Linked DNA regions of Anolis sagrei. The protein of the gene in region 3 interacts with the protein of the main gene of each other region in a biochemical or structural test. Links are inferred from orthologs where the notes say so. Each region holds a gene or a part of one and is shown on either strand. Other genes may lie near its edges.

Region 1 (6,960 bases), on a different chromosome or scaffold from region 3:
TATCAAGTGGGATTAATACTTTTTTTCCTGAAAATTTCATTTTGAAGGGAAAAGCCCTTTTTTCCTGTGGCTTCACAATTTCTGGAAATTTTACATATCTGAATGGTTGCATAATTAAACAACACAAACAGAACAGAATACAATTGAATTTTGAGAAAATAATAAGAACCACTTTGAGTGTCTTTTTAGAGAGATAAAGTGGAATAATAATAATAATGACAATTCAAGATTACCTGCTTTGTCCAGACTCTTGGGAGCTTTCCTCACATTTATTTTTTTGGTTTGTGGCCCATTTTCTAGATCTTCACAGTCACGTTTTCTTTTCCTATTTGATTTCATCTCTTTTTCTGATGTACTTCCACATGTCCTGAGATGCTTCTTGTCTTTTGAATCTTTTCCAGGGGCCATTCTGTTCAAACACTGAAAGAGACCAAGGAGCAAAGAAGCATCATTGTCGCTGAACATTCAACATTTTATTTAAAGATATAAGGTAACATACATATGTTAAAAAGTAACACTAAAAGTGGATAGTGACAGATATAACACTTTCCTATGTCCAATTTTTTTTCTGGCTAGAGAGAAGGTGTAGAGGGATCCCTCATGCCCAACGACTTTGTATTTGTGGGTCAGGAGAAAGAGATGATGTAATACAGTATCTGTTACATTATCCTTTATATAATGACCCTAGAAACAATCTATACAAACAATCTAGACTCAAACCTTAGCTGATAACTAGGCCCCTTTAATATGAGTAATGGCTATATTTATTATATGAAGTCCAAGAAAATACACTTGTTTTGAATAATAAATATGAGACTCAAACCTTAGCTGATAACTAGGTCCCTTTAATATGAGTAATGGCTATATTTATTATATGAAGTCCAAAAAATACACTTGTTTTGAATAATAAATATGATTATAATGATTTAATCCAAATTATAAATTAATGTTGGGAGTATTTCAGATTTTGGAATTCTGGATATGGGATACTGAATCTGGATATGTGTGTGTGTGTATAGGTAGGCATTATTTGTTAAGAATTAAAGGACCAAGGCAGTGACATTTCCGGCCCATGCTGTTCAGATATCAGCACGCCAATGCCTTAAGAAATAGCTTTCTAAGATCTACAGAGATACTTGCAGGAACACCTCAGCAAGCGAGAGTCCAAAAGTGGCAGGCTAAAACCTGGAACCTCAACCCATGGCTGATGCTGGATGAGAGACTCCCCCTTGGGCACACAGAAGACTGGGCAACTTGGAAGGAGCTCAACAAACTGCACTTTGGCACGAGATGCAGAGCCAACATTAAGAAATGGGGCCACAAAGTGGAGTCCACAACATGCAAGTGTGGAGAAGAGCAAACCCCAGGCTACCTATTACAATGCAACCTGAGCACAATGGAGGACTTTCTTATAGCAACACCAGAGGCACTCCAAGTGGCCAGCTACTGGTCAAAGGACATTTAGTATAATGCCAAGTTTTTAACACTTTGTGTTTTTGAAAATATTACAACTGTACCCTCGGTTTGTTTCTGATATGATAAATAAAAAATAAATTTGCTAAGAATTTATTTTCCCTCAGAATGATAAATTTTGAGAGAACACTGGCTTTGAGGCTGTCAAAGAATAAAGCTTTTAAGACAGAGCCAGTGTGTGTGTGCGTTGTGTGATTTTTTTTTGTATTTTCAAATAGGCATTATTGGTTTGAACTGTTTATTTTTACATCATCTTAGGTTTAAATCTAGTTTTTATAATAGCCTTGAGGTTTGAAATCGTCTAGGTTTCATTCAGCCCTGTTTGCTGCTTTCAAGTCTCTTTGAAAGAGAAAAAGCATGCAATAATTATAACAGTGTGATTATTATGATTTCCCAAATATATCCAAACTGGAAGTACATCATCTTCAAAGTGTGGTGAGGTAAGATCTCTAGTGTCTGTTCCCAACAACAACGTACTGTGACTGTCATGATAGCCTAGGCATGGGCAAGCTTGGGCCCTCCAGGTATTTTGGACTTCAACTCCCACAATTCCTAACAGCGATAGGTACAAAACTGCATAAATTCAATTGTGCAGATCAGTATTTTCCAATCTTGGGCCTCTAGGTGTTTTGGACTTCAACTCCCACAATTCCTAACAGCTGATAGGTACAAAACTACATAAATTCAATTGTGTAGATTAGTATTTTCCAACCTTGGCCCTCCAGGTGTTTTGGACTTCAACACCCAGAAATCCCAGCCAGCTTACCAGCTGTTAGGAATTGTGGGAATTGAAGTCCAAAACACCTGGAGGGCCCAAGTTTGCCCATGCCTGGAGATAGCCTGAAGGGAACAAAAACAAAATAAAGTGAGTACATAAGTAAGTACATAACCAAAAGTGCATGAGCGAAAGGTCGCAGGTTCGAATCCAGAGAATGAGGTGAGCTCCCGCTGTTAGCCCCAGCTTCTGCCAACCTAGAAGTTCGAAAACATGCAAATGCCAGTGGATCAATATGTTATTGCTTTGGAGGGAAGGCAACGATGCTCCATGCTGTCATGCTGGCCACATGAACTTGGAAGTGTCTACGGACAAGTGTCGGCTTAGACATGGAGATGAGCACCAACCCCCAGAGAGGGGCACGACTGGACTTAAGGTCAGGGGGGAAAACCTTTACCTTTACCTTTTACATAACTTCCAAATAGTGGGGAAATGGGATCTGTCTCTCTCGCCTTCACATGCACGCCTGAAGGCTCCCCTCAGACTTCAAATAAGGAAAGAGGGAGGGCTTTTCCTACGGCTTTTCCCCACTGAGAGCCCCCTCAAGAAAGCCCGGAGGCGAGGCCTCCCTCCTCGGGGCGGGGCCTACTGAAGGCCATGTAAAATGAAAGGTCTGCTCACCTCACCCGCGGCCTCCTTCGCCGCCTCCTCAGGCGCTTGTGTTTCCCTGAAAGGCGCGGGAAAGAAGCGCCTCCTTGGGAGTTTCATAACAAGACTTTTTGTTTGTTTGTGAGGCGGAAGAGGAGGAGGAGGAGGAGCCACAGGGCGCGGAAGTCTTGAGGCGGGCGAGGCCTACAGCAGGCCTGGGCCAACTTGGGCCCTCCTTCCAGGTGTTTTGGACTCCAACTCCCACCATTCCTAACAGCCTCAGGCCCCTCACGCTTAAGCGGCTGAGGGGGAAAAGGAAGGGGCCTGAGGCTGTTAGGAATGGTGGGAGTTGGAGTCCAAAACACCTGGAAGGAGGGCCCAACTTGGCCCAGGCCTGCTCTAGGCCAACTTATGGTGATCCCATAACATTCATCAGCTTTTCTTAGGCAAGGAGTACTCCAGAGGTGGTTTTGCTAGTCCCTTCCTCTGAAATAGAGCCCACAGGACCCATTGTGTGTTGGTTGTCTCCCCTCCAAGGACTAACCAGGGCTGAATCCGCTTAGTTTCCAACATCAAATGGGATGTGGTGCCTTTTAAAGTATGTGGGCTCTGTACTGGTGGCTCTCCATAGTAAAAAAGTTGGCACCTATTTATTATTTACTAGCTGTCTCCATTTAGCTTACTATTCACAAAACCATACACACACACACACATATATACACACACAAATATATACACACATATTCACACACAAAGCACATATACACAGACTGGGCCACAGCAATGCGTGTCAGGGAATGGCTAGTCTATATAAATAAAAATGAAATGTTCGTTTGTGGGATTAACATAACTCAAAAACCACTGGACGAATTCACACCAAATTTGGATGCAATACACGTATCAGGCCAACGAGTGACCATCACTCATAAAACACTGAAAAATACAGCAAAAAAATATTACATTACAACACATGCACAAAACCGCACACACACACATATATATACGCACGAACACATATATACATATATACAAATATATACGTGTATATATGCATGCACAAAACCACATATATACAAATATGCACATATATTCACACACAAAGCACATATACACAGACTGAGCCACATTACAATGCATGCTGGATAATAAGGAGGGATTAAGGAAAATGTCTTTTAAATGTCAAATTATTTATTTTTTATTTATTTATGTTGGGCATTTCTATCCCATCCTTTTCACCTCCACAGAGGGACACAGGATAGTTTACAGCGGGCATTAGATGCCAAAAAAAACCCCAATACATTAAAACACACAGTTACAAGTAATAATTAAAACATAAGCATTCGATCAAAAACCTTATGATTTAACAACTTAAGCACCAAACATCATGTTTTACAACAAATTGACAAAAAAGCAGTTCAATACACAGTAATGTTATGTAGTAATTACTGTGTTTATAAATTTAGCACCAAAACATTGCAATGTATTGAAACAGTTGTGGATCCAGGCGGGCGGCAGACTGCATTGGATAATACAGGACGTTGGATGACTGAAGGTTGGATAAGCGAGATTCCACTGCACCACTTTTCTCACCTCTGGGGGACTCAAAGCAATTTACACAAAAATAACGGCAAAATTAAATTCCATACATAAATAAATCAAATCACAAATCAACACCATATAACTAAGCATAACATCAATAGGACAATTCACCATAAGATAAAAGGACATTTAAAACATGAAATATAAGAATTAAAACACCTAATAAAACATTTAAATCACATGATCCACGCACGTAGACGGCCATTCCAGATGTCGATTGCACATATTCCATATTGCTTCTTGTACTGCGTTATTTTACTAGTCAAAAGCTTGGTTCCATAACCATATCTTTGCTCTCTTTCTAAAGGACGGGAGGAAGGGTGCTGATCTAATCTCACTGGGGAGACAGTTCCAGAGCTGAGGAGCCACCACTAAGAAGCCCCTGTTCTCTCGTCCACACCAACCGTACTTGTGAAGCAGGTGGGACCGAGAGCAGCGCCTCCCCAGAAGATCTTAACCACCTTGATGGTTCATAGAGGGAGATGCGTTCGGATAGGTAAGCTGGGCCAGAACCATTTAGGGCTTTACAGGCTAAAGCCAGCACTTTGAATTGTGCTCGGTAGCAGATTGGCAGCCAGTGGAGCTGACATAATAGGGGAGTTGTGTGCTCCCTACAGATTCAGTTATGCACAGATTGAAAATAAATATTTTTAAAACTCAAAAAGCAACTCTATTTTGCCATTTTCTATAGGAGACACAATTTAACTATGCCGTTGTATACAATAAGAGTTGATCATCTGTGGATTTTGGTATCTATGATGGGATCATGGAACAAACAGCAGATACCAAGGACGTATTGTGTTATATTTAGGATATATAGCAACAAATGTGACACTATATCAACTATGGGATCCACTACTTTGTTGCTATAGGGCCTAAATGTAGTAGGTCCTTGGTATCTGCTGGTATTTGTTCCATGGCTCCTTCATAGATACCAAAACCCATGGATACTCAACTCCTATTGTATATAATAGTGTGGTGAACTCATAAATATACAGCATATTCGTGTCAATATTCTGCCATGTGTATTGACTATTGTTGTAATGGTATTCTCATTTTTTTAAAAATATTCCCCATGCCCTATGTCTTTTCCTAGAAAAGGAAATGCCATTAGAGCAATAAGTCAATATACATAATGTATTTGTGATACCAGTTCATGGCGATCACTTCTCAATATCAGTCAACAGACTGTATTTGTTCATCTAAAGCTACTATTTTTATGGAAAGTTCAAAGTTAGTATAGATTAATGTAAGGCTACCTCCCCAATGAAAAAGCATATCAAGAGGAAAGAAAGGCTTTGTTCCTTAAGAAAGAGGTTTAGATGGGCAAACAATGAAATACCTTACAGGTTGAGGTGATGCAGTTCGAAAAGAATTACATCCTGTAATTCAAATCCTGGTTGTGTTTAATTCTTGGCTTCTTCGTGCAGGTGGGACTTTTCTGCCAATTTCTTACATAGAAGTTTTGCTATGGATTTCAGCACTTGAGAATTTCTGCCTTCTGAATCTTGAGGCATCTCCAGATGCTCAAAATCTGGGACAAGTAATTGATTACCTCCACTACTAACTCTTTTCCTCCTCCCCCCATCCTGCCCTGTATGATTCCAGAGTTCTGGTGCACAACTCAGCAAGGAAATAGTGGGGAAATCTGCATTCTCTGGATGCTGCCAAGCAGCAGATGCTGCAGATTCTGGAACCAGTTCAAGGTCACATTTTATGGTTAATATAATCACCTTCCTGGCCTCAAACCTGTTCTAGAATGGCCAGTCTCATTGTCCGTACAACAAAATTAGTTCCAAACCAAACTAAGTGGTTAGTGTACATGAGCCCCAGTTTAAATAATAACGGCAACAATATATTTAATTTGTTACCTGCCTCTTCCTATGGTTTGAGACAGGCACAACACTAACACATCATCATAAAATATATTCAACAAAATGCATATATTAAAACACAACTCTATAAAATACACATATTTAAATACATGGAGCAAAGATTAAAATATAATCGTCATGGAATGTAAATTTTAAAATTAATAGTTAAAATTGACTAGATAGGCCTGTTGTTAGAGATAGGTCTACAGTTGTATCTTGAATTCTGACAGCTGATTTAGCTGTCAAATCTCTTTCTGCAGATCATTTCAGTCTTGGAGAAGCCAGTTATAAAGCCCTGTGGTTTTAAGTTACAGGAGGGTAGATTTTGAAACTAATTGCCTAGATAGGTGGCTAGGTTTCTTCTCTGGATGTCTTCAAAAAGTTGGAGAGCCTGCACTGAGCAAGGAATTGGACTGGATGGCATATGAGGCGCCTTCAAATTCTTTGATTCTATAGTTCTTGTGCACACATAATTATTATACAAGTTATACCTTGAGAAGCCAGACTTGGCCACGGTGGTCCACACTCTCATTACATCTCAAATAGACTACTACAACATGCTCCGCATGGGTTTGCCTTTGAATACTGTTCAGAAGCCTCAAATAGTCCAACGGGCATCAGCCAGGTTCCTTACTGGAGTGGCTAACACAA
Region 2 (7,658 bases), on a different chromosome or scaffold from region 3:
AACAAAACCATTTATGGTTCTTTCCCACAAATTTTGATGTTTGTACGAACTGAAAAGTAGACATCTTACATTACAGACACCCCACGCAACAGTGCATTCTTCAGAGGTAGCTGATGCTTGGTTAGCTTGACATTCTATGCCTGGAAGAACAAGATTAAATAGAAACATTGATTATTACTGAAACGATAACTGGTGATGAAATATCCACATTTTCTGTTAAATATAGATGTTTCGAGATAACAAAAGAGGCAGACACATGATGAAAAACAGAATTAAAGTATCATTAGACCCACTTCCCATTGGATGAGAGGAATCTGGATGTACCATTCACATGTAATCCTAGTTTATTTTTCTAGTTGATTAACTGATAGGTAACAGATTCCAACTATGGATGTACAGTGGGAAGAGGTGATGGAGGAGTACTTAGCACTAAATCCTGCTCTATAAACAAAGGTAGTTATGAAATCTCAAATCAGTCAAACCAGGCCATTGCCTAGAACTGTTTCATTATGCTCTGTACCTTCGAAGTTATCTAGAAATCTGTCTTAATAACACATTATCACACAGGATGGATCTTTTAATCTGATTCTGCATGACAATTTTTACATTAATGATCCCAGATGAAGAAGCAATTTTGTATATTGCAAGAACTGCAATGTAGACATGTAGATACTATCCCAAACAATATAGTTGTACTGAGCAACTACAATTGCAGTCACAATATTACATGAAAGAATGGCAAGTATGACCTCCTAATCCTCAGGTTCTTCATAGGAGGCCAGAAAACTAATTTAAGTTTATATTGCAAATATAGCCATAACTTAATGCACTAATTATTCCTCTGTAACTAAATTACTCCTCTAATCTTATATGTGTAGTTTAACTACACAATTCACCATTTCTTTTCGTTGTCAGAGAAACTGCAAGTCACTTCTGGTGTGAGAGAACTGGATGTTGCCCAGGAGATGCCCGGATGTTTTACCTTCCTGTGGGAGGCTTCTCTCATGTCCCTGCATGGGAAACTGGAGCTGACAGACAGGAGCTCACCCCACTCCCCGGGTTCAAACCATCAGCAGTCCTGTCGGCACAAGGGTTTAACTCATTGCGCCACCAGGGGCTTCTACAATTAATCGTGAATTGTTGAGACTGCTATGAAGTTATGTTTTCATCATCTTGCTCCTTTTTATTGTCATCCTCTGATATCCACAATAACTATATATACAGCACAAATATTCTGGAGGTACTTACACAGATCCATAATGTGGTTTCTGCAAATGGCACAGTTATCAACCACGATGTCCCAAGCCCAGAGTGCAACTGCATTCCACTAAAGAATGAAATTACAATTAATGCAATTTTTCTTTGTTACTTTTTTTTGCATCGCTGTTGAGCCTAGCAAAACACAAAATGAGGCTTCACATGAGTTTGTGAAACCATGGATAATAACAAACCCTGTTGAAATTAAGGACTTTTTTGGCCCAAGAAAACCATGCTAGAGGACCTAGAGAATTCCCAAAGAGAACATTATTTGTCAAATGTGGATAAATTTCCAAATAGCATTCTTATTGATGTAGAAGTTGTACTGTAAACAAGCCAGTTTAACTAATTTTTTTTAATGTGTGTTGTCTTCTTACCTGTCTGAACCTATCTCCCCTTACAAACCACCAAGGACGTTAAGATCATCCAGGGAGGCTCTGTTCTCAGTCCCACCACCTTCGCAGGCATGACAGGTGAAGATGAGAGACTGGCCTTCTCTGTGGTGTCTTCTCAGCTGTGGAACTTCCTCCCCAATGAAGTTAGGTTTGCCCTCTCCCTCCTTACCTTCCATAGAAAACTCAAAACCTGCTGTGGGATCAAGCATTTGAACAATGGCTGGAGCAACTGGGAAGATAACGTTTTACGTGACCACAATGAATGGAACTGGATTATGATTTGCAACTGGCAAAATGTTTTTAAATTAAAGCATCAGAGGATGCTTGCCATAGATAAAGGTGAAACGTCAGGAGAGAATGCCTCTAGAACAGTGGTTCTCAACCTGGAGTCCCCAGATGTTTTTGGCCTTCAACTCCCAGAAATCCTAACAGCTGCTAAACTGGCTGGGATTTCTGGGAGTTGTAGGCCAAAAACATCTGGGGACCCCAGGTTGAGAACCACTGCTCTAGAACATGGCCATATAAGCCTGAAAAAACCTACAACAACCCAATGTTTTTATTCCCGGTAATTGCCATGAACATAAATTCCATATTAACTTGAATTGTTATTTTGAAAAGCTTCCCTATTTTTAAAATTATCTTATCCCAAAAAAGTTGTTGCATTTCTGATTCTCAAGTTTTATTATTCTGCTGATAAAGAAGAATATTTCTGACTTGTGATGAAATATCCACATTTTCTGTCAAATATGGATATTTTCCCATAGTCTGGGAAATACTATACTAGAGAAATCTGTGATTTCCCGCCACATTGCGGTGCATCCCACCTTTGAAAACCAGAGGAGCACAAAGGCTCCCGCTCAAACATGTATCTCAACTGTAAACAAACCTTGGGAAACGAGGGCGCCAATGGAAAGCACTTTCATAGAATCAAAGAGTTGGAAGAGACCTCGTGGGTCATCCAGTCCAACCACCTAAAGAAGCAGGAATATTGCATTTAAATCACCCCTGACAGATGGCCATCCAGCCTCTGTTTAAAAGCTTCCAAAGAAGCTTCCTGTTCGGGTTCTAGGCGAGGTCTGGACCAAAGGAACGCGGCCCACTAAGCCTCCCCATCACTTTTCGCTTTCACCTCACATTCAACATGAAAGATGGTTTCCGGGGGAAAAATAACCCTTCCCCAGGCCCCGCTACGTCCGCCACCTTCTCAACCCCAAGGCCTCGCCTTTTTCCTCTCACCTTCTTCACTTCGAAACGCTTTTTGCCGGCGTTGCTGTTGGTCCCGCTTGGTGTGTCAACATCCATCGCGGCAGCCATTTTGGATACAACTCCCGGCAGACTTTCCAGAACTGCGCATGCGCACGCTCGGTAAAAAAAAAGGAAAAGAAAAAAAGAACAAAATCTCGCGATACTTCCTGAGAAGTTTGTTTATTTATTTATTTATATATATGGATGCCTCACCCCCGCCCCTCCTTACAAACAGGTGTGCGCGAGCGAGGGAGGGAGGGAGCGCGCGCGAGGGTAGGGTGGGGGACCCAAAGGGGGCGGGGCTTGGTCACGTGCCGCCCTTTCCTCTTAAAGGCGCTGCTCAGGGCGGAGGCCTTTCTGCAGGGCCGTGCGGCGTCGTCGTTGTCGTCGTCGTCTTTTTACTGCGCTCCAGTGAAAGGACGGGAGGGAGGGAGGGAGGGGGGGGGGAAAGGGGCGGAGCTCTGAGGAAGGTTATTTAAAGGGATACGCACCAATTACTCTTGTATGAAATGCTGGGGAAACACTTGAAAACACTGTGTCATAGAATATATCCATAGGAATAAACCTTGAGGGCTACACAAAATCCATTTGTGTCGAGAGGAATACATGTCATAATGATTTAGTCAGAATCAGTGTGCCCTCCCCCTCTTAATATGTATGTAAACACACCCTTCAACACCAAATAGCTTTACTTGAAGGCAACCTAAATGCGTGAGCTGTGGCTCTTCCTGGGATTCGTCTCCAGCCTGCTTTCCCTTCTTCCCTCCCATCTTCCTTAATTAGGATGACTAATCCTTGCTAAACCATCGTCGCTCCAGAATCCATTACTGGGCTTTTGTGTGGAGCGCCTCCTTCTCTCTTCCCCCCCCCCCCCCCCAATATCCAGAGCTTTGTCTTAATATTAATTTTATTTCCTCAGGAAAGGCGCATCTGCAGCGCTTAGTGAGGCCAGGACATCCCCTCAAACCAATTCTGTCCAAAGGAAGAGTCTCCATGCCTTGGAACTGGCATTGAGGCGTCAAAGACATACACAGATCCCTAGGCCTTGGGAAGGCCTTGGATTGGGATTCATCAGGCATGGGCCAACTTGGGCCCTCCAGGTGTTTTGGACTTCAACTCCCATCATTCCTAACAGCCTCAGGCCCCTTCCTTTCCCCCCTCAGCCGCTTAAGCGGCTGAGGGGGGAAAGGAAGGGGCCTGAGGCTGTTAGGAATGATGGGAGTTGAAGTCCAAAACACCTGGAGGGCTCAAGTTGGCCCATGCCTGGGATATATAATGTTAGGCGATCCCTCGTAGCTCAAGGATGATGGTCGTCCAGATGTCATGTCTTGGTGGTGGAGCCCTATTCTTGATCATCTTCTCCCACACTAAGGACATAATCTTTTCCAGGTGGAAAGCAGTCCTGGTCAGGGTTGGCTCGACGCGCCTTTTTCTTGGCACGTTTCTCCCTCCGTTCGTGCCTCTTCGAATTCTGCAGCACTGTTGGTTACAGCTGACCTCCAGTTAGAATATATCCATCTTGCCCTTGGTCGGCTCCTCTTCCTTTTTCCTTCCATTTTCCCCAGCATCATTGTCTTTCTAAGCTTTCCTTCTCATGATGTTGCCAAAGTACTTCATCTTTGCCACTACTATCCTTCCCTCCAATGAGCAGTCGGGCTTTATTTCCTGGAGGATGGACTGGTTGGATCTTCTTGCTCAAGGGCCAGTTCTTGGTGTCTATGCCATACTCTACGCCAGTGTTTCTCAACCTGGGGGTCGAGACCCCTGGGGGGGGGGGGGTTGTGAGGGGGTTTCAGAGCGGTCGCCAAAGACTATCAGAAAACTCAATATTGTCTGTTGGTCATGGGGGTTCTGTATGGGAAGTTTGCCCCAATTCTATCATTGGTGGGACACAGACTGTTCTTTGATTGTAGGTGAACTATAAATCCGAGCAACTACAACTCCCAAATGTCAAGGTCTATTTTCCCCAAATTCCATCAGTGTTCACATTTGGGCATATTGAGTATTCGTGTCAAGTTTGGTCCAGATCCATCGTTGTTTGAGTCCACAGTGCTCTCTGGATGTAAGTGAACTACAACTCCCAAACTCAAGGTCAATGCCCACCAAACCCTTCCAGTATTTTCTGTTGATCATGGGAAAATACATCCTGTATATCAGATATTTCCATTTTGATCCATAACAGTAGCAAAATTACAGTTATGAAGTAGCAATGAAAATAATTTTATGGTTGGGGGTCACCACAACATGAGGAACTGTATTAAGGGGTCATGGCATTAGGAGGGTTGAGAAACATTGCTCTATGCTCATCAGAGGGAACCAAACTTCTGAAGGACAAAAAATCAATTGCACTACGTTGGAAAGAACACTACCAAAGCCTCCTGAATCACAGCTCCAATGTGGACGAAGAGGTTCTCTCACAAATCCTGTAACAACAAACCAGGGATGAGCTCGCACTGCCAACTAGTTTGGAAGAAGTCAGCAATGCCATTGTTGTTGTTCATTCATTCAGTCGCTTCCGACTCTTCGTGACCTCATGGACCAGCCCACGCCAGAGCTCCCTGTCGGCCGTCACCACCCCCAACTCCTTCAAGGTCAAGTCAGTCACTTCAAGGATACCATCCATCCATCTTGCCCTTGGTCGGCTCCTCTTCCTTTTTCCTTCCGTTTTCCATAGCATCATTGTCTTCTCTAAGCTTTCCTTCTCATGATGTGGCCAAAGTACTTCATCTTTGCCACTACTATCCTTCCCTCCAATGAGCAGTCGGGCTTTATTTCCTGGAGGATAGACTGGTTGGATCTTCTCGCAGTCCAAGGCACTCTCAGAACTTTCCTCCAACACCACAGTTCAAAAGTATCTATCTTCCATCGCTCAGCCTTCCCTAAGGTCCAGTTCTCACACCCATAGGTGACTGGGGAATACCATTGCTTTTAGTATGCGGGTCTTCATTGCCAGTGTGCTGTCTCCACTCTTCACTATTTTATTGAGATTGGTCATTGTTAGCAATGCCATTAGCCAACAAAACAGTAACAAAGCCAGAAGATATATAGTGCCTCTGTACAAAAAGGGCATCTCAGGTCATGTCTTCAAGGTAGAATTAATGCCTTCAATGCTATGCCATGGTTCAATGCTATAATGTCATCGGAGCTATGGTTAAACAAGATCTTTATAACATTCCCTGCCAAATAGTGTTGGTGTGTGTCACCAAAGGGTCATTCCATGCCAAGTGGTCTAAACCTTCCCACCATCATGTCTCAAATTTTATTCAAATTTTAGCCATAGCACCAGTGAGGGGTTAAAACTTTCCCAAAATTTGAGGTCTCTAACTGCAATAGTTGCTGATCCAGACTCCCTTACCTGAAGGGTCGCCAGTCAGAGTGCGCATGACATTTAAGAAAATGCTATTTTTGGGGTCTAACAAAATTGAAATGAAAGGTATGTATGGCTTGTAAATTGGCTTGTAAATTGAAATCCTGCAGTTTTTGTTCTGCTGAGTTCGATGAAATTAATTTCAGTGTTATGGATGCAAAATCCAGTCAAACAAGTTGACTCAAAGTGTGCATCAAAATGTGTCAAGACTCATTTTGAAAAATTTGGCTTCTTGTGGAAGCAAGGATTGGTGGGAAAGCTTCAGTGAAGACACCTTTTTCCATAAGTTTTTTAGGAGTGAATTTGCCTTCTGAGGGATAGATTTCTCACTTCCTGTTGTCTCACTCCTGTTCTTAACTATGAGTCATTTGTAACTCTGGGACTGCCTGTACTTGCTTTTAAAAACTGCCCTTTAAGCCAAAGTTTCCTAACATCAGTTATCGGTAGGCACAGTAACACACTTACTGTACTATGTTAGCACTGGAAAATAAAAAGGAGTTATGTTTATTTTACAGACTTGACCTACTAACCAGAGGTATTAATGCTACACACGCTTACTTGAAAATTAAGCCTCCATTGAACTCAATGGATTTTTCTCTCTCTCAATATGGGCCTTCATGGTTGACTTCATCCATGCTTTCTCAGCATCTTATCCCAAAGACTGAATGCATAATATGATTCTTCCTTATTAAGATTTCTGTGGAAGATCCATTTCAAAAGCAAGAAATGTCAGTAGTCTATTTTAAAATTGTACAGTAAAAACCTTTTGAAATAAAATGTTTAAAAATATTATGCAAGTTTTAACATATAGGCATTCTGGTCTAATGGTAGGAACACAGAAATCTTAATTAGATTTTAAATCAGTCATCATAAGCCTTTAACAGTGATTTTGATTTAACATTTTTTTCTTCATGTTGCTTTTCAATTTCTTCATGCACTTTCTTCTTAAGTTGCCTTCCAAATGTGGAACAGTTCATAAATATATGTACAGATTAGGCTGCAAATCTATGCATTTACTTGTGAATTAGTCCTATTAAAATCAAGTGAGATTTCTGACTAAAAATGTATTGGATAGTAACTTGCTGCATCTGATATGGTTCTTCTGGCCTCTAACAGCAAGATGTGATGTTACAGCATCAGACAGCAATTTCGGAATTGATTTCTCTCTTTTACCTAGGTTATATGTAACTACCTTGTAGAAACTTTCATTGAAAGGTAGGATAAAAACATTTTAAATAAATCACTATAAATTGGGATTTGGAAAATAGAGAGTAAGGAAACATAGAAGACCAAAGAGGCCCTTCCATATCATTAACCAATGTAAATGTCTACCATGCCTAGATATTGTAAGTTGTTCCAGCAAATTAGTTAATATTCCAGATAGAAGGAAAAAC
Region 3 (7,286 bases):
GGGTCGTGTGTGTGTGTGCGGCGGCGGGGGGAGTGATGGAGCGTGGGGTTGCGTGTGCGTGTGCGGCGGCTGGGGGAGTGGGGTTGCGTGTGTGTGTGCGGAGGCGGGGGGAGTGATGGAGCGTGGGGTTGCGTGTGTGTGTGCGGCAGCGGGGGGGGGTTGCGTGTGTGTGTGTGCGGCTGCCGGGGGAGTGATGGAGCGTGGGGTTGTGTGTGTGTGTGCGGCTGCCGGGGGAGTGATGGAGCGTGGGGTTGCGTGTGTGTGTGCGGCTCCCGGGGCAGTGATGGAGCGTGGGGTTGCGTGTGTGTGTGCGGCGGCGGGGGGAGTGATGGAGCGTGTGGTTGTGTGTGTGCATGCGGCAGGGGATGTGTGTGTGCGGGAAGCGGCGCGCCGGTGCTTGGAGTGGGCATGGCTTCTGCAGAGGGAACGTTGGCCGGAAGGCTGTGTGCATGCCCAAGGAACTTGCGGCTGGGCGCCAATGCGCATGCTCAGTTGTTTTGCCATATTGTGAGTGTGTTGTTGTGTTGTTTTTCATTTTGAGTAGATATGTTTGTACCTTGTTGGTTGTGTTATGGGCATGGGAATTTTGGTTAAGTTTTGTTGGGTTTTTTTAGTTTTGTTGTTTTGCCGTTTTGTGAGTGTGTTGTTGTGTTGTTTTTCATTTTGAGTAGATATGTTTGTACCTTGTGGGTTGTGTTATCGGCATGGGAATTTTGGTTAAGTTCCGCTGGGGGGTTGTGGAGTTTTGTTGTTTTGCCGTTTTGTGAGTGTGTTGTTTTTCATTTTGAGTAGATATGTTTGTACCTTGTGGGTTGTGTTATGGGCATGGGAATTTTGGTTAAGTTTCATTGGGTTTTTTTAGTTTTGTTGTTTTGCCGTTTTGTGAGTGTGTTGTTGTGTTGTTTTTCATTTTGAGTAGATATGTTTGTACCTTGTGGGTTGTGTTATGGGCATGGGAATTTTGGTTAAGTTTCGTTGGGGTTTTTTTGAGTTTTGCTGTCCCGTTGAACCAACCTAACAGATTTATATATATAGATTATGTATGTATGCATGTATTTATTTGTTTGTATTGAATACTAGCCGTCCCCTGCTATGCGTTGCTGTGGCCCAGTCTGGTGATCTGGAAAATAAAGTAACGAGAAAGTGTTGGTTTCTAATATATATAATTTCTTGATGCTTGTGGGTAAATAGTATTTCTTGCTGTTTCTTCGTCAGTGTTGATGTGGAGATTGTCTGGTTTGCCTACTCAACATGCAACATATCATTGTCCTTTCAAATCTATGATATTATATCTCTGTGTCTGTGAATCATATCTATCTATTAATATCTATGGCTGGATGGCTCTTTGTCAGGAGGGCTTTGATTATGTTTCCTTGCCCTGGTGAAGGGAGTTGGAATGGATGGCCTTAAGTATTTTCTGTTGGTCATGGGGGTTCTGTGTGGGAAGTTTGGCCCAATTCTGTCATTAGTGGGGTTCAGAACACTCTTTGATTGTAGGTGAACTATAAATCCCAGTAACTACAATTCCCAAATGTCAAGGTCTATTTCCCCCAAACTCCATCTGTGTTCATATTTGGACATATGGAATATCTGTGCCAAGTTTGGTCCATATCAGGCATGTAGCCGGGGGGGGGGGGGGGGGCTTGAGGGGCTTCAGCCCCCCCCCCCCCCCACGAAATTCTCATGGTGGTTCGCGAAAAGGCCTTACTGGTGCATTATTTAAACTGTTATGTTTATTCATATCATGATCTGATCACCATACTCAATATATCCCATATGCATGGGGGTATTGGGGTAATGGTTTGCTAGGCTAGACCCTCTTTCACTCAGACTCAGCCCCCCCCCCGAAACCCCCCTGAAAAAAAATCAGCCCCCCCCCCCCCGAAACGAAATCCTGGCTACGGGCCTGGTCCAGGTCCATCATTGTTTGAGTCCACAGTGCTCTCTGGATGTAGAAGAACTACAACTCCCAAACTCAAGGTCAATGCCCACCAAAGCCTTCTAGTGTTTTCTGTTGGTCATGGGAGTCCTGTGTTCCACGTTTGGTTCAATTCCATCGTTGGTGGTGTTCGGAATGCTCTTTGATTGTAGGTGAACTATAAATTCCATCAACTACAACTCCCAAATGACAAAATCAATTTTTTTAGTGGTTGTCACTCCTTGGGTTAGTAGGTGTCTTGTAGCCAAATTTGGTGGCAATTCGTCCAACGGTTTTGGAGTTATGTTAATCCCACAAACGAACATTACATTTTTATTTATATAGACTTGCCATTTATGAGACTACTGTCTAAAACAGGCATGGCCCAACTTGGGGGTCCTTCAGGTGTTTTGGACTTCAACTCCCATAATTCCTAACAGCAGGTTGGCTGTTAGAAATTGTGGGGGTTGAAGTCCAAAACACCTGGAGGGCCCAAGTTTTGCCTGGTCTAAAAGGTGTCCCCAAAGTTACCACACCTGATCTATGGGTATAAGAGGACTTTGTTCAGTCTTCCTCAAACAGAGACTTTCAGGACACCTTGTACTCCAAAGTCCTGCCTACTCTGTGGCCAGGCTCCACCTGTCGTGTTGAGAATGGTGCAGAAGGCCCCATTTCGCCCCCTCCCCCAAAAAGAGGTGTCAAGAGTTCTCCACAGCTTTTGGAGGCCTTGCCCTTCCTGAGGGGAGAAGGGCCGGAGGACGGCGAGCGGAGGAATGCCGAGGCTGAGCTCAGCAGTAGGGCAGCCCGGGGCCCACACCCACCTCGGAAGTTTTTGATGACCAGCTTCTTGGAGGTGGCGGCGCCGCTGCGGCCCCCGGCCAGGGAGGCGGCCTTGGTGAGCCCGTTGGTGTGCCCCACCAAGGCCGACAAGTGCCGCTGCTGCTGCTGCTTCCTCTGGGGCTCGCCGGCCATTTTCGGGGCTCAGTGGCCCTGGGGTCCTCCCTCCCGTCCGGCCCTGGGCCTCCGGGAAGCAACCAGGCGCATCTCCTCAGGGCCGGAGAAGGAAGGGAAGCAGGCGGGCAGGCAGGCCTTCGCGGGGAGGAGGGAGAGAGAGAGGCCGTCCTTCGCGGCGCCTCACAAAATGGCTCCTCCCCCTCCTCCTTCGCTGGAAGGAGGGATCACGGCGGGACAGAGCGGGCGCCTCCTACACGGTGGGACTGACGCGCCTTGGCACCGCTTGGAATCTACTGAATCCTGGGAGTCGCCGCCGCCGCTTGCTGTCTTCGGCAGAGGAGGCTAAAGAATAAAACCCCACAATATCTGCTTTGAACTGGAATATATGGCAGTGTGGACTCAGCCCCCTTCCACACAGCTCTATATCCCAGAATATCATGGCAGAAAATCCCACAATATCTGCTTTGAACTGGGTTATCTGAGTCCACACTCAGATAATGTGGGATTTTCTATTTAGTTATTCTGAAATATAGGGCTGTGTGGAAGGGACCCCAGAATATCAGGGCAGGAAATCCCAACTTATCTGAGTGTGGACTCAGATAACCCGGTTCAAAGCAGATATTGTGGGATTTTCTGCCTTGATATTCTGAGATACAGGGCTGTGTGGAAGGACCCCCAGAATATCAGGGCAGGAAATATAATAATAATAATAATAATAATAATAATAATAATAATAAAAATAAAATGAAAATGAACAAAATCTGGCTACCAGTATTAAAAAAACTCTAAAATTACAACAGCACAAGAACAGAGAGGAAACAAACAAGGGCATCTAATTACCTCTCAACAAAAGTTTGCTCCAGGCACTGTCAGGCCATTATATGCTAATCAAGGTAGTCAGTTGAAACATTCACACCTAGCTCCAGCAGACAAGAGTACTTTGTCCCACCCTGGTCATTCCACAGATATATAAACCCTTTTTCCTAGTTCCAACAGACCTCACTACCTCTGAGGATGCTTGCCATAGATGCAGGCGAAACGTCAGGAGAGAATGCCTTTAGAACATGGCCATATAGGCCGAAAAAACCTACAACAATCCAGTGATTCCGGCCATGAAAGCCTTAGACAGTAATAATAAAACTTTATTTATACCCTGCTACCATCTCCCCAAGGGACTCGGTGCGGCTTACATGAGGCCAAGCCCACAGTACATCAATAAACAAAAGCAATAACAAACAAAAGCAATACAATTAATATAAAACACATAACAAAAAAAATAAATCAACAGTAACACACAAGTATTTAAAACCAATGGCCAGGCCAAATGTAATAGATTAAAATTAAAAATAATGCTGGACATGGACAAGGTGGGATATAACTGGGTAGAATTTTCAAGGAGAGATGAAGGAACGCAGTCAGTCCTAAATCAATGGTAAAGTGCATTTTGAGGGCAGATTGCTGAGGATTTTCCATATTATGGGAAGGCACACTGGAACAACCACGTTTTCAGGCTCCTCCTAAAGTCTGCCAGAGTTGGGACATGTCTGATGTCCTTGGGAAGTGAGTTCCAGAGTTGGGGGGCCGCCATCGAGAAGGCCCTCTCCCTCATGCAAAGGAGGATATCCCATTTTATCTGAGTGTGGACTCAGATAACCCACTTCAAAGCAGATATTGTGGGATTTTCTGCCTTGATATTCTGAGATACAGAGCTGTGTGGAATATCAAGGCAGGAAATCCCACATTATCTGCTTTGTACTGGGGGCCCTTTGACACAGCCCTATATCCCAGAATATCAAGGAAGAAAATCCCACATTATCTGCTTTGAACTGGAATGTATGGCAATGTGAACTCAGATAACCCAGTTCAAGTAAGAAAATGTGGGATTTTCAGCCTTGACATTCTGAGGGCCCTTCCACACAGCCATATATCCCAGAATATCAAGGCAGAAAATCCCACAATATCTGAGTGTGGACTCAGAAAACCCAGTTCAAAGCAGATATTGTGGGATTTCCTGCCTTGAGATTCTGGGATGTAGGGCTGTATGGAAGGGCCCTGAGTTGTCTGAGTCCACACTCAGATAATGTGAGATTTTGTGCCTTGATATTCTAGGATATAGGGCTATGTGGAAGGGCCCCCAGAAAGCAAGCTTGCCTTGATCTCAGCCACCCATGTGGAAGGGGATATCGAACAGGAGTCAATAAAGGGATACCCTCAACCAGTTTTGAAGATAAATGGGTTCAAGCCCAGAAAACATATGTTGCCGCAATAGATCTGTTAGTTAGAAACCCAAAAACCACAGCTGCCTGTCATTGGATCTGCTGGAATTTGTTCTTTAAATCCCCTGGAAAGCTTATAATGCTCCTCAAATGGAGATGCCCTGGGAGGCACATGGCCTTGGGAACAAACCTGTTGAGCAAATATGATTCTAGAGCGTGTCACATTTATTGCTTTTGGTTTAAAGGTCAAAGCAAAAAAAAAACAAACCCAACAAAAATATAAACAAAGGTATACCCAGTAGATTTTACTCTCTAAATTGGCATCAATTGATTATTTGAATGTGTTATGCTTTCTATTAGTTTTATGTTTGCTTTAAACTTATGTGCTTTAACTGGTTTTATGTGTTTTTAGTTATATGTTGTATTTTAATTCTATGTTGTACTCTACTTTGAGCCTTAATGAGATATGGGTTAGAAATAAGTTGTGTCAAAATGGGTTGCTGTGAGCTTTCCTGGGCTGTATGGCCATGTTCCAGAAGCATTCTTCCCTGGCATTTTGCCCACATCAATGACAGGCAAGCTCAGAGGTTGTGAGGTCTGTTGGAAACTAGGCAAGTGGGGTTTATGTATCTGTGGAATGGCCAGGTTGGGATAAAGAACTCTTGCCTGCTTTAGGCAAGTGTGCATGTTGCAATTGGCCAGCTTGATTATTACTGAATGGCCTTGCAGCTTCAAATAAGTTGCTGTTATTGAAATTCAATGTGCTTGGGATTATTTTGGGGAGGGGCTTTGCTAAAGGTCCTTGAATAAAAGCAAGAAAATTACAATGAGGCAGTTTCCAGGCTGATCCTGTTTAAGGTAAACAGGCAATTTTGAGTCAACAGGTTTTTCATAAGATTTTGGCATAAATCCAGCTGGGTGGTTGTAGTTTTTTTGGCAATAAAGCCATGTTCTAGAAGCATTCTCTCCTGATGTTTTGCCTGCATCTGTGGTAGGCATCCTCAGAGGTTGTGAGATCCTCACAACCTTTGAGGATGCAGGTGAAACGTCAGGAGAGAATGCTTCTAGAACATGGCCATACAGCCCAAAAAACCTGCAACAACCCAGTGATTCAGTCCATGAAAGCCTTTGACAATACATTAAACCCATCTGTTATTCACAAAAGGCACCAGATTCCCATCAGAACTTGGAAGCTAAGCAAATTCAGCCCTGGTTAGTACTTCGACAGGAGAGTGCCAACAAATCCTAGGTGCTGTGGGCTATATTTCAGAGGAAGGAATTGGCAAAGCCACCTCTGAGCAAAACTACAACTCCCATAATTCCGTAGCATTGTGCATTAGCAATTAAAGTGGTGCCGAACTGTCTTTAAATCTACATTGCAGATGCATCCTAGATCTCACCCAATACTTATTTATTTATTTACGACATTTATATGCCGCCCTTCTCACCCCAAGGGGGACTCAAGAGTGGCTTACAAAATATAAATACATATGTATTGTTGAAGGCTTTCATGGCTGGAATCACTAGGTTCTTGTAGGTTTTTTCGGGCTATAGGGCCATTTCTCCTGACGTTTCGCCTGCATCTATGGCAAGCATCCTCAGAGGTAGTGAGGTCTGTTGGAAATAGGAAAATGGGTTTATATATCTGTGGAATGACTGGGGTGGGGCAAAGAGCTCTCTGCTGAAACTAGGTGTGAATGTTTCAGCAATATATTATTAGCATAGTACTTCAGGAAATACTTCAGGAAATAATGCCCGACTGCTCATTGGAGGGAAGGATAGTAGAGGTCAAGATTAAGTATTTTGGCCACATCACAAGAAGAAAGGAAAGCTTAGAGAAGACAATTATGCTGGGGAAGATGGAAGGAAAAAGGAAGAGGGGCTGACCAAGGGCAAGATGGATGGATGGTATCCTTGAAGTGACTGGCTTGACTCTGAAGGAGCTGGGGGTGGTGACGGCCGACAGGGAGCTCTGGCGTGGTCTAGTCCAGGAGGTCACGAAGAGTCGGAAACGACTGAACAAATGAACAACACAAGATCAATATTAAATATTACTATATTGTACTATACCATTATATTGTAATATTATTAGTAAAATTACATATAATAATAATAATAAATTATTATTATTATTATTATTATTATTATTATTATTATATTGCATTGGAGCCCCTGGTGGCGCAGTGGGTTAAACCCCT

The links.
Region 1: the proteins of CUL4A (region 3) and DDB2 form a complex in vitro, tested with the Homo sapiens proteins (2 studies listed by BioGRID, with this or other methods). The link is inferred for Anolis sagrei from reciprocal best matches to the Homo sapiens genes CUL4A and DDB2.
Region 2: the proteins of CUL4A (region 3) and RBX1 form a complex in vitro, tested with the Homo sapiens proteins (6 studies listed by BioGRID, with this or other methods). The link is inferred for Anolis sagrei from reciprocal best matches to the Homo sapiens genes CUL4A and RBX1.

The regions. Positions count from the first base shown.
Region 1 is NC_090021.1:279,746,763-279,753,722, reverse strand, and holds the start of DDB2 (DNA damage-binding protein 2), read right to left. Parts: upstream 3,004-6,960; 5' UTR 2,957-3,003; coding exon 2,870-2,956; intron 2,755-2,869; exon of another isoform or gene 2,652-2,754; intron 421-2,651; coding exon 234-420; intron 1-233.
Region 2 is NC_090025.1:161,877,919-161,885,576, forward strand, and holds the start of RBX1 (E3 ubiquitin-protein ligase RBX1), read right to left. Parts: upstream 3,004-7,658; 5' UTR 2,967-3,003; coding exon 2,889-2,966; intron 1,328-2,888; coding exon 1,249-1,327; intron 141-1,248; coding exon 70-140; intron 1-69. UniProt on the Homo sapiens protein: E3 ubiquitin ligase component of multiple cullin-RING-based E3 ubiquitin-protein ligase (CRLs) complexes which mediate the ubiquitination and subsequent proteasomal degradation of target proteins, including proteins involved in cell cycle progression, signal transduction, transcription and transcription-coupled nucleotide excision repair.
Region 3 is NC_090023.1:108,629,634-108,636,919, forward strand, and holds the start of CUL4A (cullin-4A), read right to left. Parts: upstream 3,075-7,286; 5' UTR 2,891-3,074; coding exon 2,740-2,890; intron 1-2,739. UniProt on the Homo sapiens protein: Core component of multiple cullin-RING-based E3 ubiquitin-protein ligase complexes which mediate the ubiquitination of target proteins. As a scaffold protein may contribute to catalysis through positioning of the substrate and the ubiquitin-conjugating enzyme.